3 linked regions of the Caenorhabditis elegans genome follow. The protein of the gene in region 2 purifies or fractionates together with the protein of the main gene of each other region. This does not show direct contact. Each region holds a gene or a part of one and is shown on either strand. Other genes may lie near its edges.

Evidence for each region. Proteins that work in one complex are often made in the same cells at the same time.
Region 1: the proteins of cnp-3 (region 2) and msra-1 fractionate together in Caenorhabditis elegans (co-fractionation; one large-scale study listed by BioGRID). This does not show direct contact.
Region 3: the proteins of cnp-3 (region 2) and dylt-1 fractionate together in Caenorhabditis elegans (co-fractionation; one large-scale study listed by BioGRID). This does not show direct contact.

What each region holds. Positions count from the first base shown.
Region 1 is NC_003280.10:7,360,261-7,365,930, forward strand, and holds msra-1 (peptide-methionine (S)-S-oxide reductase), read right to left. Parts: upstream 3,781-5,670; 5' UTR 3,774-3,780; coding exon 3,525-3,773; intron 3,392-3,524; coding exon 3,017-3,391; 3' UTR 2,960-3,016; downstream 1-2,959. Other genes in the region: insc-1 (Protein inscuteable homologue C-terminal domain-containing protein), read left to right, coding at 327-367, 481-625, 678-792, 845-1,035, 1,083-1,177, 1,223-1,323, 1,372-1,471, 1,523-1,768 and 4 more.
Region 2 is NC_003284.9:17,133,442-17,142,524, reverse strand, and holds cnp-3 (Calcineurin-interacting protein 3), read left to right. Parts: upstream 1-4,414; 5' UTR 4,415-4,417; coding exon 4,418-4,501; intron 4,502-4,552; coding exon 4,553-5,239; intron 5,240-5,357; coding exon 5,358-5,966; intron 5,967-6,019; coding exon 6,020-6,241; 3' UTR 6,242-6,525; downstream 6,526-9,083. Other genes in the region: K09E3.7 (BZIP domain-containing protein), read left to right, coding at 8,033-8,089, 8,139-8,822, 9,014-9,083.
Region 3 is NC_003279.8:7,297,106-7,302,442, forward strand, and holds dylt-1 (DYnein Light chain (Tctex type)), read right to left. Parts: upstream 3,809-5,337; 5' UTR 3,790-3,808; coding exon 3,748-3,789; intron 3,646-3,747; coding exon 3,438-3,645; intron 3,318-3,437; coding exon 3,247-3,317; 3' UTR 2,960-3,246; downstream 1-2,959. Other genes in the region: BAH-4 (Glycosyltransferase family 92 protein F13G3.3), read right to left, coding at 17-176, 221-342, 485-681, 981-1,134, 1,299-1,622, 1,682-1,787, 2,483-2,707, 2,769-2,857; Inositol monophosphatase ttx-7, read right to left, coding at 4,060-4,321, 4,802-4,922, 4,967-5,121, 5,230-5,334.

The DNA of each region.
Region 1 (5,670 bases), on a different chromosome or scaffold from region 2:
ACACGTCAAATGCCCTTAAATTTTTCAGAAAGAAAGAAACTTGATACCTTGCAAAAATGAAATTATTCTGGATTTTAGGCAGTATCATTTTTTCAATTTTTGCGCAATACAATTTTAACGATTTTTTCTTGAATTCATCTGGACTAGATAGAAAACAATGCAACTTAAAAAAAGGAATCAAGAAACAAAAAGTTGACTCCCAACATAAATTTTATGAACTCTCTTTTCCTTAAACTTTCCCTAGAGCACTGGGAAAACTTGCGGCATAAAAATGCTTTCAAGTTTTGAACATTTCCGTCCTGTTTCTCAAACTCGAGTTTTTATAGAGTCTTGCCCAACGGACACCGAGGATGCAATAATTCGAAATGTGAGTTCACTTTCTTTTATTCCTTCGTTTTTTCTCGTTTTCTATCCCTTCACCACCCCTTAAATTTTATCTTAATTGCTTCGTTGATTGGCAACACATGTTGAACCATTCAGATCAAGTTGCCCGGCTTCCGAGGAAACATTTCACGAGCTCTGAGCCAAAAGAGCAACTCTCCATCTGGTTGTCGAACACCAACTCCTAAAACAGCGCCTCCGTCGTATGAACAGTTTCAGGTTTTGCGACGGAATTCTATGAAATGTGAGTAATTTTTATTTCGTTATCTTTTGCTGGAAAAATTGAATTTTTTCAGCTAGTGTGCAACCACAAAGAAATGGAATTTTGTCTCCGGCCCCACCAGTTCCAACTTCTTCAAGAGCAAACACAATAACTGTTAATGGAGCACATGTTCAACAGGCAATGAACAGGTACTAAATAATTATTTTTAACATTAAAGATAAAATAATTTTGCAATTACAGAATAGACATGAGCACTGACAGCGCAAATACAATTCTCCGATCTCCATACAGTACTCGTTCGGATAGCATCACAAGTGTCGACTCTGGACAATGTTCCGGAGATCAAATCGAACGAAGATCAAATTGTTCAACTCGACAAGAAAGTAAAGATGATGATGATACAGGGATGCCAAGCTATGCGAGAATGGCTAGTCAGTAGTCATTATTTGGAAATTGAATTTTTAAAGAGAAAATTCAGGTACAATGGATCATGTTCTCAGAACATCATCTGCTTTGTATACTCTTCTTTCTTCAGCTCTGGATCCAGCAACTTGCAGAGATTTGTTGGCAAAGGTATTTTGTGCATACTGAATTAAGTTACAAAAGTTAATATTTAAGTCTTCTGTGTTCATCCAACTGCTTGAATCATCTCCATGTACAAATTATCTTCCAAAGACTGAAATGGCTCGATTAAAAATGAATGTTCAAGAGTTACAAAAGTAAATCTATTATTGAAACAAATTAAATGTTACCTTACGTTTTTCCAGAAATCGAGATAAAGGAATAATTGACATGAATAATATGACAAACTTTTTTGCGATTCTTCTCAGAAAGTCTATAGAATCAGTACTTTTGGTGTTTGTGAGGGTAAGTTACTTTTAGTTTAACTATTCAATTCATTCAAATATTTAATTTCAGATAATATCCAAGAATCTATGTGAAAGTAATGGAAAAGATCGTCTGACACCTATTTGTTTAGAGCATCTTATTCATATTTGTTTATTTGGAGATGAACTTTGTATTGAAGCAATTCAAAAAGGATGCATCTCATCAGTTATTCGAATTATGAAGAATGATCAACCACAGGAGAACACTCTTAGATTTTTACTTCGAACATTGGCAGTGTTATGTGGAGTTTCAAAAGGAGCACTTGCTTTGCTCACGGTAATTAGATATATTTTATAATCAATACTTTTCAATACAAATTCAATACAAATTCAATCAATACAAATTGATTAATTTCAGCAAGGAGGCTTGGATTTGGTTATTGATAGACTTTTATCCATTTCCTCATCAATCTGTTCCGTCGAGGCAGCTGGTATTCTGACACAACTTACCAATCCTCAGTCTGCATTCATTCGGTTAAATCATGTGGAACCAATTATATCCAGACTTTTGGGTAACCAATTTAAATATAAAAATTGGAGACTAAATAATTAATTTCAGATCTAATAGATCAATGTAAATCAGGTGACTCTTTGCTTTTGGCAACCGCTGCATTGAACAATGTGACACTTCAGAACCCAAATGGAGTTGATATTATGTACAGGTTTGTTGAATTTTAAGCATTTAACTATTTTCGCAAAAGCTCAGTACAAAATTAAATTTGAACCAACATTAAATTGAGCTATAGCACGTAATTGTAGAAAATGAATGCAAAATTTCAAGGCGAATTCCTTGTTCTAACTTTTGTAGCAATTGCTACAAGTTACCTAGAAACTACAAAACGGTAAACCAGCCTACCAGATAAAACTGAAAACAGTCTCGAATTTAAAAAAAAATCTGAAAATTTATAGGATCGCTCTCTATTTTGGGATTTTGAAAAGTTTTTTGCAACATGTAAATGTAAATATTTTCAGAAATAATTCAATTCGTCGTCTGATATCTGCTTATAATCGAGAAAATTGTGCCACTGTCTTCGTCCAGGAACAAATTGTTACAGCCTTTTCTCGCCTTGCCGCCCGTCATTTAGATCATCAAATGGTTGATCAAAATGCAATTCCAGTGCTTCTTGAATTTTTATCCCTTACCCATCCAATCCATGCGGATTACTGTAGAAGGATACGGTACAAAGCTGCTGTATGTATTGGTACTTTAGCTAACAGTGAAATTGGGCTCAAAGCCTTGTATGGTAATAATGGTGAGATTTTCAGAATTATTCAACGTTTCATATATGTTCAAGTTACAGCCTACGCAATTTTGAGCAATGTGCTTTATGATGACAACAACTCTTCAAATCCATTTAATATGATATGCAACAATATTCGCACAAAGTTGGAATCTAAATACCAATCTGAAAGTGCAGTATAATATTCAAATATCTTCCTTTGTTAAACAAACAAACACAAGAATCTGTGATAAAATAAAATTCATTGAAAACCTGATAAAAGTTCGATTGTACATTCATATAATTTAAGCATGACAGTTTCTTGGATCTCCTCCTGACAGAGCATAGTCCTTCACCTTATTGACAAAAGAATCCTTTAATCCGTACTCTTTTGCAAGACGCTCAAGATCGTGGAAGTCCTGGAAGCCAGCACAATATGCGTTCAATTTTGTGGCAAGTTCTCCTTCAGCAACTTGAGTATCAAGAAGAGACAGTTCATCGAAAAGAATCTTCTTTTGACGGAACCAATATTTTTGATGGTAATCTTCAGCTTGATAGAACTTGTCCAATGGCTCAATATATGTTTCAATGTCTCCATGCTTGTCCTTTGCTACTTTCAAAGTTTCTTCAGCGACTTTCTTTTGGTCGTCATTTACGTAGAGAATCGCAGATTGGTATTGCTGAAATTGAAACGAATTAATTTGAAGTTTAAATGTATTTTAACCTAAAAAATTATAATCAATTAGAACTTACTTTTTGTTACGTTTTCCAGTAGAACAATATTTGAAACTTTAAAGTCAATTCGAAAATTACCTTCTTTCTCCTTTCAGCTGGGTTGTGATGCTTCCAAAAGAAGTTGGTGAGCTTTGAGTATTCAATAACTTTTGGATCAAAAGTGATCTCTGTGATTTCAGTATGATCCTTGATATTCTTATAAGTAGGATTTGGTTGTTTTCCTCCAGCATATCCAACTCGTGTCACCACAACTCCTTTCAGCTTCGCCCATGCAGATTCTCCCCAGAAGCACTGAAGACCAAAATAGGCACGCTCCAAATAAGCCATGTTTCACCTGAAATTATATCGGATTGAAAAAGGTTTTGAGTTTATAAAGGAATTAAAAAATTAGTAAACAATGTAAAAACGTATGTTTCACAGTCAATTTATATACAAATCGGGGCGGAATCAAAATGTGATTCCTGTAAATTTTGCGATTACATCAGAAAGAGGAAAGAGACGCAGAGGGAATCGATGAAGAAGACAAGTAGAAAAGAAAACATACAATGTTAGACGCAGGCATATAGACACGACATGCTTTATCATCATTCTGCCAGCAGTGGTAGACGAAGAAAAAGCAGATGGCCAGTCAGAAATGATGACATAGATCGCTTTTTGGTAAAGATGTTTCTTTTGATGATATTGAGTACACGTTGGGTTCAATGGACAATAACTGAGCTTTTCCATGAACTTTCTTTTGATCAAAATAGTTTCTAATTTTAGGCCCTGTATTTTTCGTTAGAAATTGCAAAATGTTCAATGTACAAATGAATAAGTTATACCTAGTTGACGGAGCTCTTTCACTTGTGAGAACATTGAACTTTTCCTCGTCTTACAACAATCGTTTTTTTTTGTTTATTCGATTAGCTAAAAAACAATTAATCAAAAAACTATGAAAAATAAATGAAATTTCCGAAAGTTTGAACCTACAGTACTCATTAAAGGCGCACGCCTGTTCGTATTGTACAAAAATCTGTCGTGTCAAGACCGGGGTTGGCTCAAAAACCCTAAAACCTCGTGTCTGGTTAATAAAGGATATTTCCAGAAAAAAAGTGAAATGGAAACCTAAGTTATTTCTGAACTATTAAAATATAGTGTGCTCTTGGATCTTGATAATTTACTATGACTTCAGCAGCTTTATCTAATTCCATGTCTTCTTGTTTTCGCAATGTATTTTGTATTTCACGGATGGAACGTTGACGAAGATAATCTAGATTCGCTAGTTCAGCAGTTATATCATCAAGAACTTGCATTGCTGCAGCAAATGTTCAATGCACAAATGAATAAGTTATACCTATTTGACGGAATTCGTTCACTTGTGAGGATGGTAGTGGGGGTGGAGTAAGACTGGCTCAGTCTGAACGTTTTGACCTACTTGCAAGTTAGTTTTGAAGCTCAAAAATAATGTTGTTTTTACAGACAGTCATTTGGACTACAAATCCACTGTGACACCTGCTCAGACAAACGCTTAGTCGTCTAATTAGATTTCAACCGTATTCAACGAGATTTCAACCATATTTGTTTAGAAAATCCATATTGCATTATATTTGCTCCATATTAGATTAGAAATCCATGCTAGATTAGATTTCCTCCATATTTCATTAGAAAACAAATCTAATCCAATATGGTCGAAATCTAATTAGACTACTAAGCGTTTTTCTGAGTGTGCCCACAGTACATCACTATTGTTTTATTGAACCGTTGTAGAAGTATACTATAATTTTCTACAATTCAATAGTTAGGCAATACAACATTCTAAATTCTCATTAAAATAATACTTGCCAGCAAAAGTTGCAAGCCCAGGCTCGGTTTACCAAATAACTTCTTGAACTCACGAAATTGCGTATCTTCAAACTGGCGTATCTTGAAAAATAAACATCCAGGAAACAAATGTTCAACTAACAAAATGATTAGAAATATTTTTTATTTTTTCTGCATTACTTTTCAGTGCAAAATACCAATTATTTGTTACACAGAGTCATTTTACCAAAAACCACTAAAAATTTTGTCGATTGAGTTTCAGAAGTAAAATGTTAATGAATAATAATTGCAAGATATAAACTGATAAAATGTGGAAAAATATCTTGCAATTATTATTTATTAATGGGGTTATTCAAGTAATGTAGCAAAATGTATTTAAATACATTTGTGACGTCACTAATGTATTTAAATACATGTTTTTATA
Region 2 (9,083 bases):
CTTTTTCTTTCAGACATTGTCAGTTATTGCTAAAGTTTCACAGACGTTTCCAGAGAGAATGGAAATTATGCACGTGCTTAAAAGAAAGGAAGGTTTCTTCCTGTTTGAATTTTTTCTGATTAGATTTAATCGGAGAAATTCCACATGGCAACCTTTCAAGACACTGAAAATAGTCATATCTTTCGTGCATGCCAATCAAAAAATTTGAAAATGAGCTGCAAATTCACTTTTTTTTTCCTCAGAATAGGGTTACTGTATCTTATCAATTGTGAATGCATATAAAATAAACTGAAATTAGTCTTGATTTTTTTCATTTGAATCCAATTTTTCTAAATGTTTCTTATTGCTTTTTCACAGTTCACATCAGTTTTGCTGAATTGTAGTTTTTCATACAGGCATCCCTCATTTTAGTATTAATGCAGCATTTATAGCTGTAGGCCATGTAATAGGCTGCGTGCCAAAAGATATAGCGGTTGATAACTGAAAATGTTCAACATGTTTTTTTTACTCTTGAAAAGTTTAACATTTCCTACGTATTTTTCAATTATTTATTTAGTTTTCTACCTTAAGTTTATTTGCAGTGAATACAATTTTGTGTTTCAATAAGGAGCCGACAAAAATTACATTTTTAATTTGAAGACGGTACATTTCAGACTTACTAGCAAAGCACAGGGAATACGTTGGCTGAAATAATTACTACAGCTGTTTGCAAGATATGTGAAGAGTTCGAAACTGTTCATACAAAGTTTTGAAAGAATCTACCAATGTATATAAACTCCCTTTTTTTTCTTTGATAGCTTTTTTTAAAAATCTCTAGAAGATTTTGTTTCTAGATCATTTTTTAATAGAAAATTTCATCACTATAAGTTTCCCAATAAACTGTAAGAGGTTTCTGGCGAAGGGGGGGGGGGGGGGGGGGGTGACAAATATACTTCTGGGCGGACTGACAAAAATATATGGTGATTCGCCAAACGTGATTACAAAAAGTTTCAAAAAGCGTTCCAGTTATTTTCCGACTTTGCTTTCAAGTGTGCTTTTAAAAATAATTATTGTAATTTCCAGACCATCTTTTTTTCTTCTTTGCAACTCTGTTCAAATTCCACGTTGTATCCAAAAAGTTTTGAAAGAATCTACCAATGTATATAAACTCCCTTTTTTTTCTTTGATAGCTTTTTTTAAAAATCTCTAGAAGATTTTGTTTCTAGATCATTTTTTAATAGGAAATTTCATCACTATAAGTTTCCCAATAAACTGTAAGAGGTTTCTGGCGAAGGGGGGGGGGGGGGGGGGGTGACAAATATACTTCTGGGCGGACTGACAAAAATATATGGTGATTCGCCAAACGTGATTACAAAAAGTTTCAAAAAGCGTTCCAGTTATTTTCCGACTTTGCTTTCAAGTGTGCTTTTAAAAATAATTATTGTAATTTCCAGACCATCTTTTTTTCTTCTTTGCAACTCTGTTCAAATTCCACGTTGTATCCAAAAAAAATGCATTCAAAAACCGAATTCTCCAAATCTCCCATATAAATATTCATGAATCAAAACTGTATAGCTGCTCGGTTCGTTTTGTTGAAATTTGTTTTTTTTTTTCGAAACTACGAAATACCAGTTTGATTTCTTTTTTCATACAAAAAGTAAAATTTTTCTAATGTCTATCAAGCACTCCGATAAAAATTTCATATGTACTGATAACAACGTGGTGTGGCCATTTCGGAGATTTCCAAGAAATTTAAAATTTGCTGACTCTAAATAGATGATAATTTTTGCAAAAATTTCTTAGCTGTTGTCTGATCGGTCAACAGTGTGTGCAGCAAAGATGGTAATGCGAATTCGAAAAGAAAGTTTATCAAAACTCATTAATTTACCGTACTGCGTAAACGTGTTTGTTGAATTTCCTGATATGATGTAAACAAGTACCTAATTGCTTACTATGAAACAGTACGCCGTAGAAAATTCTAGAAGTTTTGATGTGATATTTCAAAACACATGCTTATAAATAGTGTCCACATGAATATCATATGTTAGTTTTTATACCAGCATGATTTCCACGTTTTGATAATTTAAAGGGCGACTCTTTGCCTAATGAGTAAGCTTATAGAATATGTCCAGAACTCCTAAACCTAGGTGTGACTCCCAATGACTCAAAAAATTTACAGATAATGTTGTACTTTTTATTCGAAACTTTCTAATTGATGTCAGTCAGTTTTACTGCAGTGATATTTTTGAATGAGCGCAGTTGTTCAGCTTCGGTTGGCAACGTTACAGTAAGGTCCTTAGGCCAACTGTAACAAGAGTAGTAGTCAATGTTTTTTTTGGCTAATACGGTTACTCCAAATGTCAATTCAACTGAATTTCAAAAAATATTGAGGAAGTGGTACTATAGAGGTACTGTGAGACTTTTTACAAAATTATCAGTATATCAAAACAATAACTTTGTAACTCGACTTTTTTCTATTAATTTGGATAAACGGATCTAGAAAAGTGAACAAAAATATTGTCAGTTTATGGTTTAGTCTCAACGTCTAGATGAGCTATACATAGTACTTCAGTAATATTACATGGCTAGAATTAGTCTGACAATCTTTATTAGTGACCCTTTTCCAACATTAGAATTCTTTAAAGTTCCCTGTTTTATTGAGAATTTGAAAAACTCACACTTTTTCGCAAGTTTGCATAAAATTTCAAACAGTCCTAACGGAAAAATACAGTAATTTTCAACTGGGAACTAATTTTGAACAGGTGCTAGTTTTTGAATTTCCTCTGTTAACGTAACACAATCTACCTGCACTTCAAATAAAATAAAGTGTAGTAGTATTGCAATGATTAAAGTACAATTGGACTTTTGCACTTGTGGTGTTAAAAAAATTTATCTGGCACACCGTACATAACGGCAGTCTAGAAATTTCGACACCATTTGCGTGACATTAACGTCACATGATCATTGCTCACCTGTTTGGGAAACTACCGCATGCGGAGCAATCGATCCGCCTTTTTCCAATTTGGTACCTTTCCCAGAAAGTGTCCCGCCCATTTACAGAAGCGTTTTTTCTCTGGAATGTTCATTGTTCGTTGCTAATTTAATAAATGTCTTTCAATGCCTCACTATAGGCTCATCTTATCTTTTTTTTTCTTCTTATCACCCAGTTGGCAAACATTCAACTAATATAGTTCGTAACTCCAACACCACCACCCATTACGTTTCTCAATTTAACATTTTAGTATTTTCCATGCCCAAGTTTGAGCTGTCGGCACAGTCGTTATTGAGACAAAGGGAAAGTCCCATGAACTTTTAGAAAGACTCAATGCCGCAAAGAACTTTCACTTTTTTTTTGTCTGTCTTGTATATGTAAATGTTACAAGAACCACAAAAGAAACCATAACTGACCTCCTATTCTTCCCGTGTGCAAGAATTTGATGCGAACACTGCTGATTTTATGACGCGTTGACCTACATACTCTCTCTTTCCTTGCAATACAACGCTTACATTGCAACAGTTTTATCGGTTTTTGTTGTCACTTTTGTTTTGGTGTTTTGCTTGTTTTGCTTGTTTTTTTCTAGTTGTCTTAAACGTCAACGTCAAATGGAGTTAGTTTTCCTAATTTTTCAAAATATTTTTTTGTTCTAACTAAGAGGCTAGTTTTTTCTTGAAGTTTACTATTAGTCAATATATTAACATTGATCAATTTGGTTACAAATAATTTGAGAAATCAATTTTTAATAAGTAGTTGTGACATATGATAGTAGTTTGTTTTGAATTTCAAAAAAAAACCAAAAATGAGCAATTTACATTTTTTCAGAAAACTAAAAACTGTTTTCTTACGAAGTTAAAATTTCCTATGACAGTATGTATACTAAAGTAACGTGAAAGAGCCAAGTTTTAATAGTTCAAAATCAATTCGCTAAAAAAAATTACCTTTTGAGCTCAAAATAAAAAACAGAAGTCTCGAAAAAATAAAGTTGAAAAAAATACTAAAACAACATTTTCAAACGTCACTTAAAAATTAAACAGTAAAATTTCCCCAATCACAATTATCAATCAGATCAATAAAACAAGTTTCCATTATCTTCTCTCTATCTCTTTGTTTTCGACTTGTGACTGTCACTCTCTCAGCGTGGGCGTTGACTGATTCACCAACTGACCGTTACGCATGTGACAATGACAATTCCCCAAATTGCGAAATGACATTTGTCAGACCGTCACGTCATCACTTTCATCCGATTTGTCATGTTGTGTTCGGTCGAGACAACACCCCGAATTGATTGATAAAATAATTGTATTTATATAGGCAATCTTATCACATTTTATCCCATTGCTGACCTTAGATTTCTTGACGTTTCTTCTCCACTTTTTTTTTGACAATTTCTCTTACTCTCTTCGTAGTGACTTAGTGATTCTAAATTTCAATTTTCAGAGAATGCGCTCCCTAAAACGCGAAAACTCAGGTTCCGCCTTATCCGTCAGAAGCTCAGATTCCGAAGGTGATAGTTACCATAACATGGTTAGTTGTTCTTTTTTACAAGTGTACTTAAGTATATCTAAATTTTTTCAGGACATTAAAAAATTAACTAATAAAGTTAAAGAAATTGACATTTCCGCCTTCGACCGCACAAGACTTTTCAACCCAAGAAAGCAAAGATCTTGTCACAAAAGAGCTGAACCAGTGTCAGAAGAGCACCGGAAAAAGGAGAGCAGCAAAAACTCCAGGGAGTATACCAAGAGGAATCGTGATGAAATTGTCACGTGTCAAAAGCTGTTTTCTGAAATCACAGCCATTATGCGGAGGTTCAAACAATTGACCGAGGAGATGTCAGTGGAAACAGTGGAAGTTAAGATTAAATCCATGATCAAAGACTGTCAAGAGATGCTAACAAAGTACACGAATTTGGATTCAAACGACAGATTTAATATTGGAATTCCCGAGGCTGAAGATTTTTTGGCAATTTTCCGCGAGAAAGCGCATGCAACGATGCTTTTCGAGCATCGACCAGAGTCTCCGAATATGTACACCGAAAATCTATTTAAACTACGCGAGCAATATCACAAGCTCACAGACCACAAGGACAATTTGAATTCTTCAAAGGACAAAACCAATTACGCGTCGTCAAAAAGCAGATTAAATCAGAGAATTGTGAGGGAACAGTTGAAAAGTGACTGCTGGGTATGTTGGAAGAGCATTAACACAATGATGGTCCAAGGAGAGCAACTTCAGGAGTACAACAACGAGCTGAAGAAAGATGTAAGTCTAACTTGTTAGGTGTTCGTAAACCGAGGTTTTTCCTGTGCAAAGAACACTATTGTTTACGAGTTGTTATCTTTAGAATGAGTAGAACTTTCTAAAAAATTTGTACTTTCAGATATGGAACAACATCTTAGCTGTCTACCACCAGATTTTCACCATGTTCTGTAAATATCCAGAATATGCAGACAAGGAAAAAATGGAAAGAATTGTGGAATATTTTGCTCCAGTTTCGAGAACACCAGGGCACCTATCTGTTGTCTGGAATCCAATGCCAAATGTTGTCAAGTCTCCACGGTCAGAAGAAATTCCAGAAATCAAAGTCGAATATGAAGAAGTTCCATCGTCATCTACCTTCTTATCTAACAACGAAACAACAATCGCAAGTGACATGGATATGTCGATTGATCGACCGCAAAGTATGGACATGTCGCAAACGCTTTCTCCAGAGCAAACGCTTTCTCCTAGAGAGAAGCTTCAAGTGCAAGATAGAAAGATCTCAACGACTCAAGAAACTCCTCCGGCGCTGCCATCACCATCCGGAACACTCACACTCCCAACAGTTCCAGCTTCGACATTAAAACGTAAAGAATTTGGTGACTTGTTGGCCTGTCCAACCGGCAAACGTGTAACTATTGATGAACCCAATCGAGCAGAGCGCACTGAGACAATTATGCCATCTAGACAAATGATGTACCCAATGGTGAATTACCAAGCACTTCCAATGGTAAGTTTTTTTTGAGAAAATGTTCGTCCATTTCAAAAACTTCTATATTTCAGCCACCACAATCAATTCCATCAATGATTCCCCCATTCATCCCTACGATTCCTTCGACGAGCACAATGCCTCCAATGATGCCGTATCCAAATGTTCTACTCACTGCTGCTCCGGGAGACGTTGCCCCAATCGATTCACTCACCCCATCATTTTTGAGAGCATTAGAGCAGCAAAAACTAATGGCAGCATTTTTAAATCACGCTTTTCAAAAATGTCAGAAGTAATTAAATTATTAAATGAACATTCATTGTTCTAACGCAATCTTAATAAAAACCGTATGCTTTCACAATTAGTTCAGGGTACTGTAGGACTGTCAACTGATAATTTTATAATCAATTTGTTTCTAGGGACTTACTCATTTAAATAATCGATTCATATATTGACTATCAACATTACCGGGCTCAGAAAATTTGAATTTTCTATGTTTTCTTTGTTTTCTACTTTATTGATTCTGTTCTGTTTTCACTTAACTCACATTTGAATTTCACAAATAAAAAGTTCAACAACGGAGTGTTCTTAAGGACACAGTTTATAAAAACGCGTGATTCCCCTCAACACTTTTATCTATTTCTGATGCTACAGTCGTCTTTGGTTTTTGGAGAATTGCCAGCAAGTCTAGAACATGTGGAATGGGGGAATAACTGACTTTTTGAACATGGAGTAGTGCAAAAATTAGCAGTGAAAACTTGCTTACCGTATACTATTTTAAATGAAAACGCATTGAAGAAATTTAAAATATAAATTTTATACGGTCATCGTAATTACAGATTAATGAACGGTGTTTTCTCACTTTTCACAAAAACCTGTTAGTCTTCTATAGGGAGTGGAAGTTTTTTTATTTTCCTCTCAATAGGGAATACCGTATGCTGTGAAAAGAAATATAGAATGAGTGATCCATTTTCTGAACGCTTATCAATTGGAAATTCCGAATTTTAAATAAAATGTTGCTCAATTTACTTTCGAGACAATTATTCTTGAATTAAAACTATATTTTGCGGAATAAAGTTGGCTTTGAAGTTACCTATCTTTGTGAAATTTAATTTTAGATAGGTCAAACTGTTTAATCGGACGAAATAATCACCAATGTATTTTTTACATTTTCCAGTTAGTGACGGTTCAGTAAAGCTCATTTCCACGGGATCGGAAAGTTTCAGAAACAACGCCTTTTTGCAAACATTAGCTTTTAAACATAAGTGTCTCAAAACTAAATTGGGCAGGTTTTTTTTCACAAACGCATCTAGAAAAATATCATTTCATATCTCTGGACACTAAAATTTTTTATCAGACAAGAGAAGGATTTACGGAGAACACTTCACTGCAAAAAATGTGAACTTTTGTTTCATCTCGTTTAATTTTAATCTGAAAATTTCCTGTGTGTTTTGCCATGCGTGTGAGGTCTTTAAAAATACCTTAAAACTGTTTTTTTTATGATTCTAATGGCTTGTGCGGATCAGTAAAATCTGAAAGTATTTTGGAGTTATTTTGGGAAGAGGTTTAGCTCCTGTCCTGAGCAACAAAGGAGATCTTTGACCAAATTACTGCCGTCAACTTTTTTGCCTACCTCTTATTTTCAGTTGCCGTCCTTTCCGCCCTGTCCATAAGACAGTGCCCTCCGCACACCGCGGTAAAATAATTTAATATCGCGCGCTACGCCTCCCGTTTCCTCACACTCTCTCGCTTATCCCATTGCAATTCTAGAAGACTGTTGTTGTTGACAGCGGCGGTGTTTCGCGCATTCTATGGTCCATGCCATTTCACGCGTTTGACAGTGATTTTATTGTCTTTATAACTGCGTTCGGTGAGTGAGAATATGCTTCCGTTCTTGCAAATCATTTTGAAACTTTTTGTTGGGCTCTTGTTCTATAATATTTTGATATGATGCTATTCGAATGTTTTTTTTTGAAGTGCGATTGTTCTTGCCGCATAATTAATTCTTTGTTTTTTACTTCAAATTGTTGACCAACACAACAAACGAATTTCAGTTTTAATATTCAAACTTGGAAAGTGAATAGCAAATGGATCTCTTATCCGTGAGAAATTCTGAACCTGACAATGAAAGTTATCATTTATTGGTTAGTTTGTTTTCTTTAAGCTTCTGAATTGTCAAACTATCATTTTCAGAATATGAAAGGTTTGGCAGAAAAAGTTAAAAAGATCGACATATCTATCTTTGACCGCAGGAGCTTGTTAAAGCGTGTAAAACATAGATCTTGTCATAAAAGAGCCGAGCCAGAGTCCGAAGAAAACCGCAAAAAGAGGTACAGGAAGGACTGCAAAGAGTATAGAGAAAGGAATCGTGAATATGCCACTTTCCAAAAACTATTCTTCAAAATAACAGCGATTGAACGGAGATTCAAGCAATTTATCGAGGAGATGTCCGTGGAAACAGTGGAAGTGAATATTAGATCCATGATCAAAGAGTGTGAAGACATTTGTTCCAAGTACACAAATATCGATGCGCCTCACAAAATTCATTGTGAAATTCCACATGTTGATGATTTTTTGGCATGTTTCCAAGAAAAAGGCCAAGCCGCCATGCTCGTCGACCACCATACAGAGCCTTCCAATTTTTACGCCCAAAATCTGCTTAAACTACGCGAGCAATATCACAAGCTCACAAGCCAAAAGGACAATATGAATTCTTCAAAGGAAAAAACCCGTTATGCATCGTCAAAGCTCGAGTTGAATCGCAGAATTGTACGGGAGCAATTGAAAAGTGATTGCTGGGTATGTTGGCAGAGCATTAATACAATGATGGTCCAAGGAGAACAGCTTCAGGAGTACATCAACGAACGGAAGAAATATGTAAGTTAAAACATGAATTAGGACAACTATGTAGAGCATATGTTGCTAAGTTTTCGCAAAAATTGACCCCAACACTTTATAGCAAATTTTTGGTAAAAGATTAGGTTTTCTACCTTATTTTATTTTCAAAACAATGATAAACTTTTACATTCCTCAAATAAAACTGCAACAGAAGCGTGTTATTTTTTCAGATTTGGAACAAAATCGTAGCAATCCATCACCTGCTTTTCATCACCTTTTCTCAACACGCAGCAGATGCAG
Region 3 (5,337 bases), on a different chromosome or scaffold from region 2:
GCATAATTAAACCAACATCGCATCTTTCTGGACCCGGACACAACATCCCGTGATTTTCATTTGCAGAGTGGAAAGCATAATATGATTGTTTATAACAATCACTGATTAATTTTGAGTATGTCATGTTGATAGGAAGATTACGTAGATGTCGTCTGACTGATGACTTCCAGCTCATTCTGAATTTTGTTTTCAGAACAGCTGATGGATTGATCAATGATACCTGTTAAAGTCCTTTTCAATCATCTTGATGTTCTTATTAGATATCAATGGTTTGTCATTGTCTAGACCAGTTGATGGATTGTATTTGGGTTCCTCTTCATTTTTGGATTTCAATCCGTCTAGCTGAAAAAGGAAGCAGGGTCTTTATGTGGTAATTGCTTTGGATCAAATTATGTGTTATCAATGAGGACTACACTTTGAGAGTGGAGCATCGCCAATCTGGATTTGTTAAAATATACTGAAAAGGGGTTTGTTTTTATGTTACCAATTCAATATGTTTCAGATGGGTTATAGAATTGAATTCAGGCTTCACGGCCAATTTTTTCAGATTTTTCTGTGGCCAATGAATCCACGTATTGTTGATTTTTGAGGGGATTGCAATCATTTTTCCAGTTTCGGTTTGTTGTTCATGTTTTATATTTCGAAGAACATGTTCAATCGAAAAAACATTTGCTCGTTTATCTGAAAAGTTCTGCGTTTATTAATTAATAGAAAGACTTCCAATTGAATCGATTTTTAGTGATTTTCGTTTTTGGTACTCGTCTTTTTGGCAGCCCTTTCAAGATCGTAGAGTTTCGAATATGCAAAAATTATCTATTTTTTAAACAATTGTTTTTAAATTCCAATTTTTAAGTTGGTAATTGACCAAAAGTTTGACTGAAAATTGTGTTAAATTTGAAATCTTTTGAAGTGTTAAACATAAAGAAACCTGACAGTCCGTGAAATATTAATAGTAAAAGATAGTCCAGCAACTAACTCACATGCTTTTATTCTTGTATTTTCTTTTGAATACGTGAAATATGCAACTGTTGGGTGTTCAGAAGCTAGGTATCGAAACTCGCTGGCATAATTGTCAGCTACACGAGGAATAATTAGATCATCTAGATCTACAAATGCTACGAATTCAGAAGATTCCTGGAAATTTATAAAAATGTCGACTTTATTTTTCAGATATTTTTGATTTGTGAAACAAAAAAAGCGACTTTATGTGTAGATGAACAGTTTTTTTAATTGATTGATTTTGACAGATTATTAGGAAGAATAATTTTTAAAGTTATATAACTTTAAACAATCGTTACCTTATATCTCAAAAGACAATCCGTCTGTGCAGCAGCTTGACTTCTAAACTCAACATTTAAATTTGGATTAAAATCTTGTTCATCTCGATTTAAGAGGTTTATCCTATTCCATGGCTTCAAAGTTGCATATCCCTCTTGCTCGTAAACTCTCAAAATTTCGAGCATTGGGGAAACAATGCTCCGAATATACAGATGCATGTGAGCACCGAATATTTTATATACATGAAGAGAAACAAGAAGATTGTGCCAATTTTCAGCAGCGAAGAGTGGAGAAATGCACATTACAACAGGTTTAGGTTCCGAAGAAACAACTTCGAATGGAATCTGATAAAAATGGGATATTATACAATTTTCAAAAAGTAACTGACAGCTCAAAAACTCACCGGCGCATGATTTCCACCTAAAGAAACCAATAAAAGCGACGGATTTAGAACTATTTTTGCAGTTGCAGTCATTGCAATCCATTTACACGCATCATGGATTGTTACTCTGAAGTTTGAGAGATTGAAGAAGTATGCTCCTTCAAAAGAAAATATTAGCAGAACTACATTTGCCTCAAATTTCGTATTTCCAACTCCCGATAATCTTCATGTTTGAATTTTCTCCAAAATGAGAACTGCAAAACCAATAAATTAATCGCTCCGCCCACGTTTGATCCAATCAGCGACTTTGAGATCCGTCTGATTTGTCTTGTAGTTCTCATTTTGGAGGAGAATCAAACAAGGAAGTTGGTGAGTTGTATAAAAATCTCGGATATCTGACGGCCTTATAATTTTTCTTAAATCGACAGATGCATCTGCAGATGGTAGATGACCGAGATTCGCATATTTTCTCGGCCACTCTTCCATTTTCTCGATTTACCATCTACTTTGTATTGTTTTATGTATTTTTCAGAAATAGCCAGAATTGTTTCCAGGTTTGAAAAACATCTATTAGGTACATGGAACTTTTATGCAAAAATTTCAAAAAAAACCAAGGTATTAGATTATTCTGCCTTTAGTTTTGAACGGTTTAATCATAGGAAATAGTTGATTACCGATCCTGCAAAATTTCAGAATAAGCTCCGCCCCTTTCTTGGTTTTTTTTTTGAATTTTTTCATTGAATTTTCAAATCTTATTTAATTGGTGCCGAAAAGCTCAAAAACTTCGAATCAACACAAAAATAAGAAATTAAATACACAAACCTTTCCAATTCAGCAGATGTCATAGCTCGACTCGTGTCATTTATGCCCAAAAGTTCAAGATTTTTAACTTTTTCCAAAACTTCAAAATCAGCAGTCATCAGAATAACCATTGAAGAATCTCCGAGACTTTTTGATTTATTATAATAAAATGCAGAATAAATGAATATATCATAAGGTGCCGAATGAAATACTTCTTCATTTTCAAGATCTGGTGAATCGATTCGACTGGAAATTTATCGTTTCAATCATTTTTGAACGGTGATAATTTTTAACTATCAATACTTACATAAATTGAAGTAAGACTGCCGTTACAAAAAATAAAAACGAAAAAAGTAATACCACAGACAGAACCGATGGAATTATTCGTGGAAGCATTTTGGCTGATCTGACGCACTTGTTTTGTGTCCTAACGCGTCCCGCAAGTTATCTGAACATCTAATCTCGAACTACCTTCAATGAGTGCGACGGTCAAAATGAGGAGTAACAGTTTTCATTAATTTAGCAATAAAATAATAAGGCAAAAAATTTGAAAATCAAAGACAAAACAAATGAATTGAGTGGGGGAAATGATGGAAGATTTTGAATGTGAAGGAGCTGCTCGTCCGGATTTTTTCAGCTCAGTTTTTCTGGACAGGTAATAGGTCTGAATATAAAACATGATAGTGTGTGATGAATGGGGAAGAAAAAAACAATCAGAAATAAGGGGAGAATTGGCGGTAAACGAGGAAAACCAGAGTAGACATATAAGATGAAGCTGTGGATTGTTAAATTGCAATTGCAAAAACATAGACGATTGCAAGCATTGTTTTGGCTTCCCAACGGTACATGTACGAGGCTGAAAATGAGATTTTTTGAGCTATAAGTTGAATACCAACTTTCAAAATCAGAACTTTGTGAGTAATAAATTTATTTCCCTCTTTATTATTTAATGTTTTAATACAAAATGTTAACTCACAATCCGTGACTTTATTCCAGTAGGAAATCGTGCTAACATTGAGACCGGAACCGCTCGAGATCTGAAGGAACGACGAGGTAACCACATATTTGTATGGTTTTCCCGCTGCCACTAGCTTCTTCGTTATTTGTTCGACGGCCTTCTGATTCCACTGAACACTGTCCTTGTGGGTATACTGGGTGCTTGCGCCTACAACCTCGTCGAGTACCTGAAAGATTATTGGATTACGAGAATGTGAATAAACAATAATCAACTCAAAAATTATAGTTTTTCAAAGAATTAATACAGTAGACATATAAAATATCGGTACCTGCTTGATGATCATGTGAACGTCCTCCTCTGCCAAAGCCATGATGTTGAGCTTGTGAGAGCTGAATATTGAGTTTAATTATTAAAAAAGAGACAGTATAAATAAATCAAGTGCGCTCAAACGGCAATTGAAGTATCAGAAATTAAGATATAAACATCTTTAAATAATTTATTCTCATAAAACGAGAATACATACGACTAGAAAATAAAATCAAAAAACTAATATTAAATTGGAAATACAGATAATGCATGTTATGGTAGGAATGTTATGTCACAATATGTGAGTTTTGAAAATAAATAGTTAAATATATATTTAGGCTTCCGGCTCGAAATCGACATGAGTGAGGCATGCAGATAAATCGCGTCCGAGTTCAGCTGTTCCAGCGCAGAGAACTTTTCTTGACATGACGTCAAATGGGGATCCAGTTGGATCAGTGACAACACCTCCGGCTTCTGTGACAATGATAGAAGGAGCAGCAACATCCCAAGCGTGAATCCCGTATTCAACATATCCATCGCAACTTCCTTGTGCAACCATCACCATGTTGATCGCGGCGGAGCCAAACGAACGGTGTCTGAAAAAAAAACTTGGATTTTTTTCAAATAACTTTTATTATGTATAACAATATTAAAAATAATAATATCACATCATCCTCGTGATTTTTTTCATATTAAACTTTGTCCATCCAACATCTAACTTTTCCATCTTATCCATTTCTCAATTTTAGTAAAACTTTCAAAAAATTTGCAAACGCACAGTTCAAGAAAGTCACTAGATTTCGACAAGAATATAAAAAATATTTATAAGTACCCGTGACATTGTTTGTCGAACATAACAGTCTTGTAAGAATCAACAAATGATTTCTGCATAACAGGAGATCGAATTGAGCCAAGTTGAAGTATGAGCACACTTTCCGCAATGACTGGAATTTGCAACGTTTCTATGTGAATGTAAATAAAATTGAAAGTAAAACGTGCAAAACCAGCGCGGGAAGTGTGGAGGTATATTTTTTGTAAAAAAGTAATCAATTTTAGACCAAAAAATTAAAACAAACCCTCGCACACCAGCCATCACTTGATTTCGCATGTTTGACTGGGCAATGTCGAGCCAGCGATCGCCGAACTGAACACGATTATGCAGACCGAGAGATTGACAGAGAACTCCCTTTGAAAGCACTTCAAAAAGCAGGGTGCATGACAAGAAAAGTGCAATTACTTACATTGATTCTTTGATGCTCGGATTGGAAATCCATTTTTGAAAGCTCCCTTTCCGAGTTGAGCGAGATAAAGTTCATTAGTGATTGGATTGTATACGATTCCAGCACGAATTTGTTTTTTGATTGCAAGTCCAACGCAGATTGCGATCATAGGGATTCTATAATAACATAAGAATTTGTTTTTCGAGAAAAATTTGAGTCCAAATTAGAAATTAAATAACGCGATTTGCCATTATTTGAAGAGTCCGATTTAAAAAAAATCTTACCTATGAACAAAGTTAGTAGTTCCATCAATCGGATCAATAATCCATGTTGGTGCATCAGTCCATTCAATTTTCGCACCTCCGGCTACAGATTCCTCGCCAATGAATCTG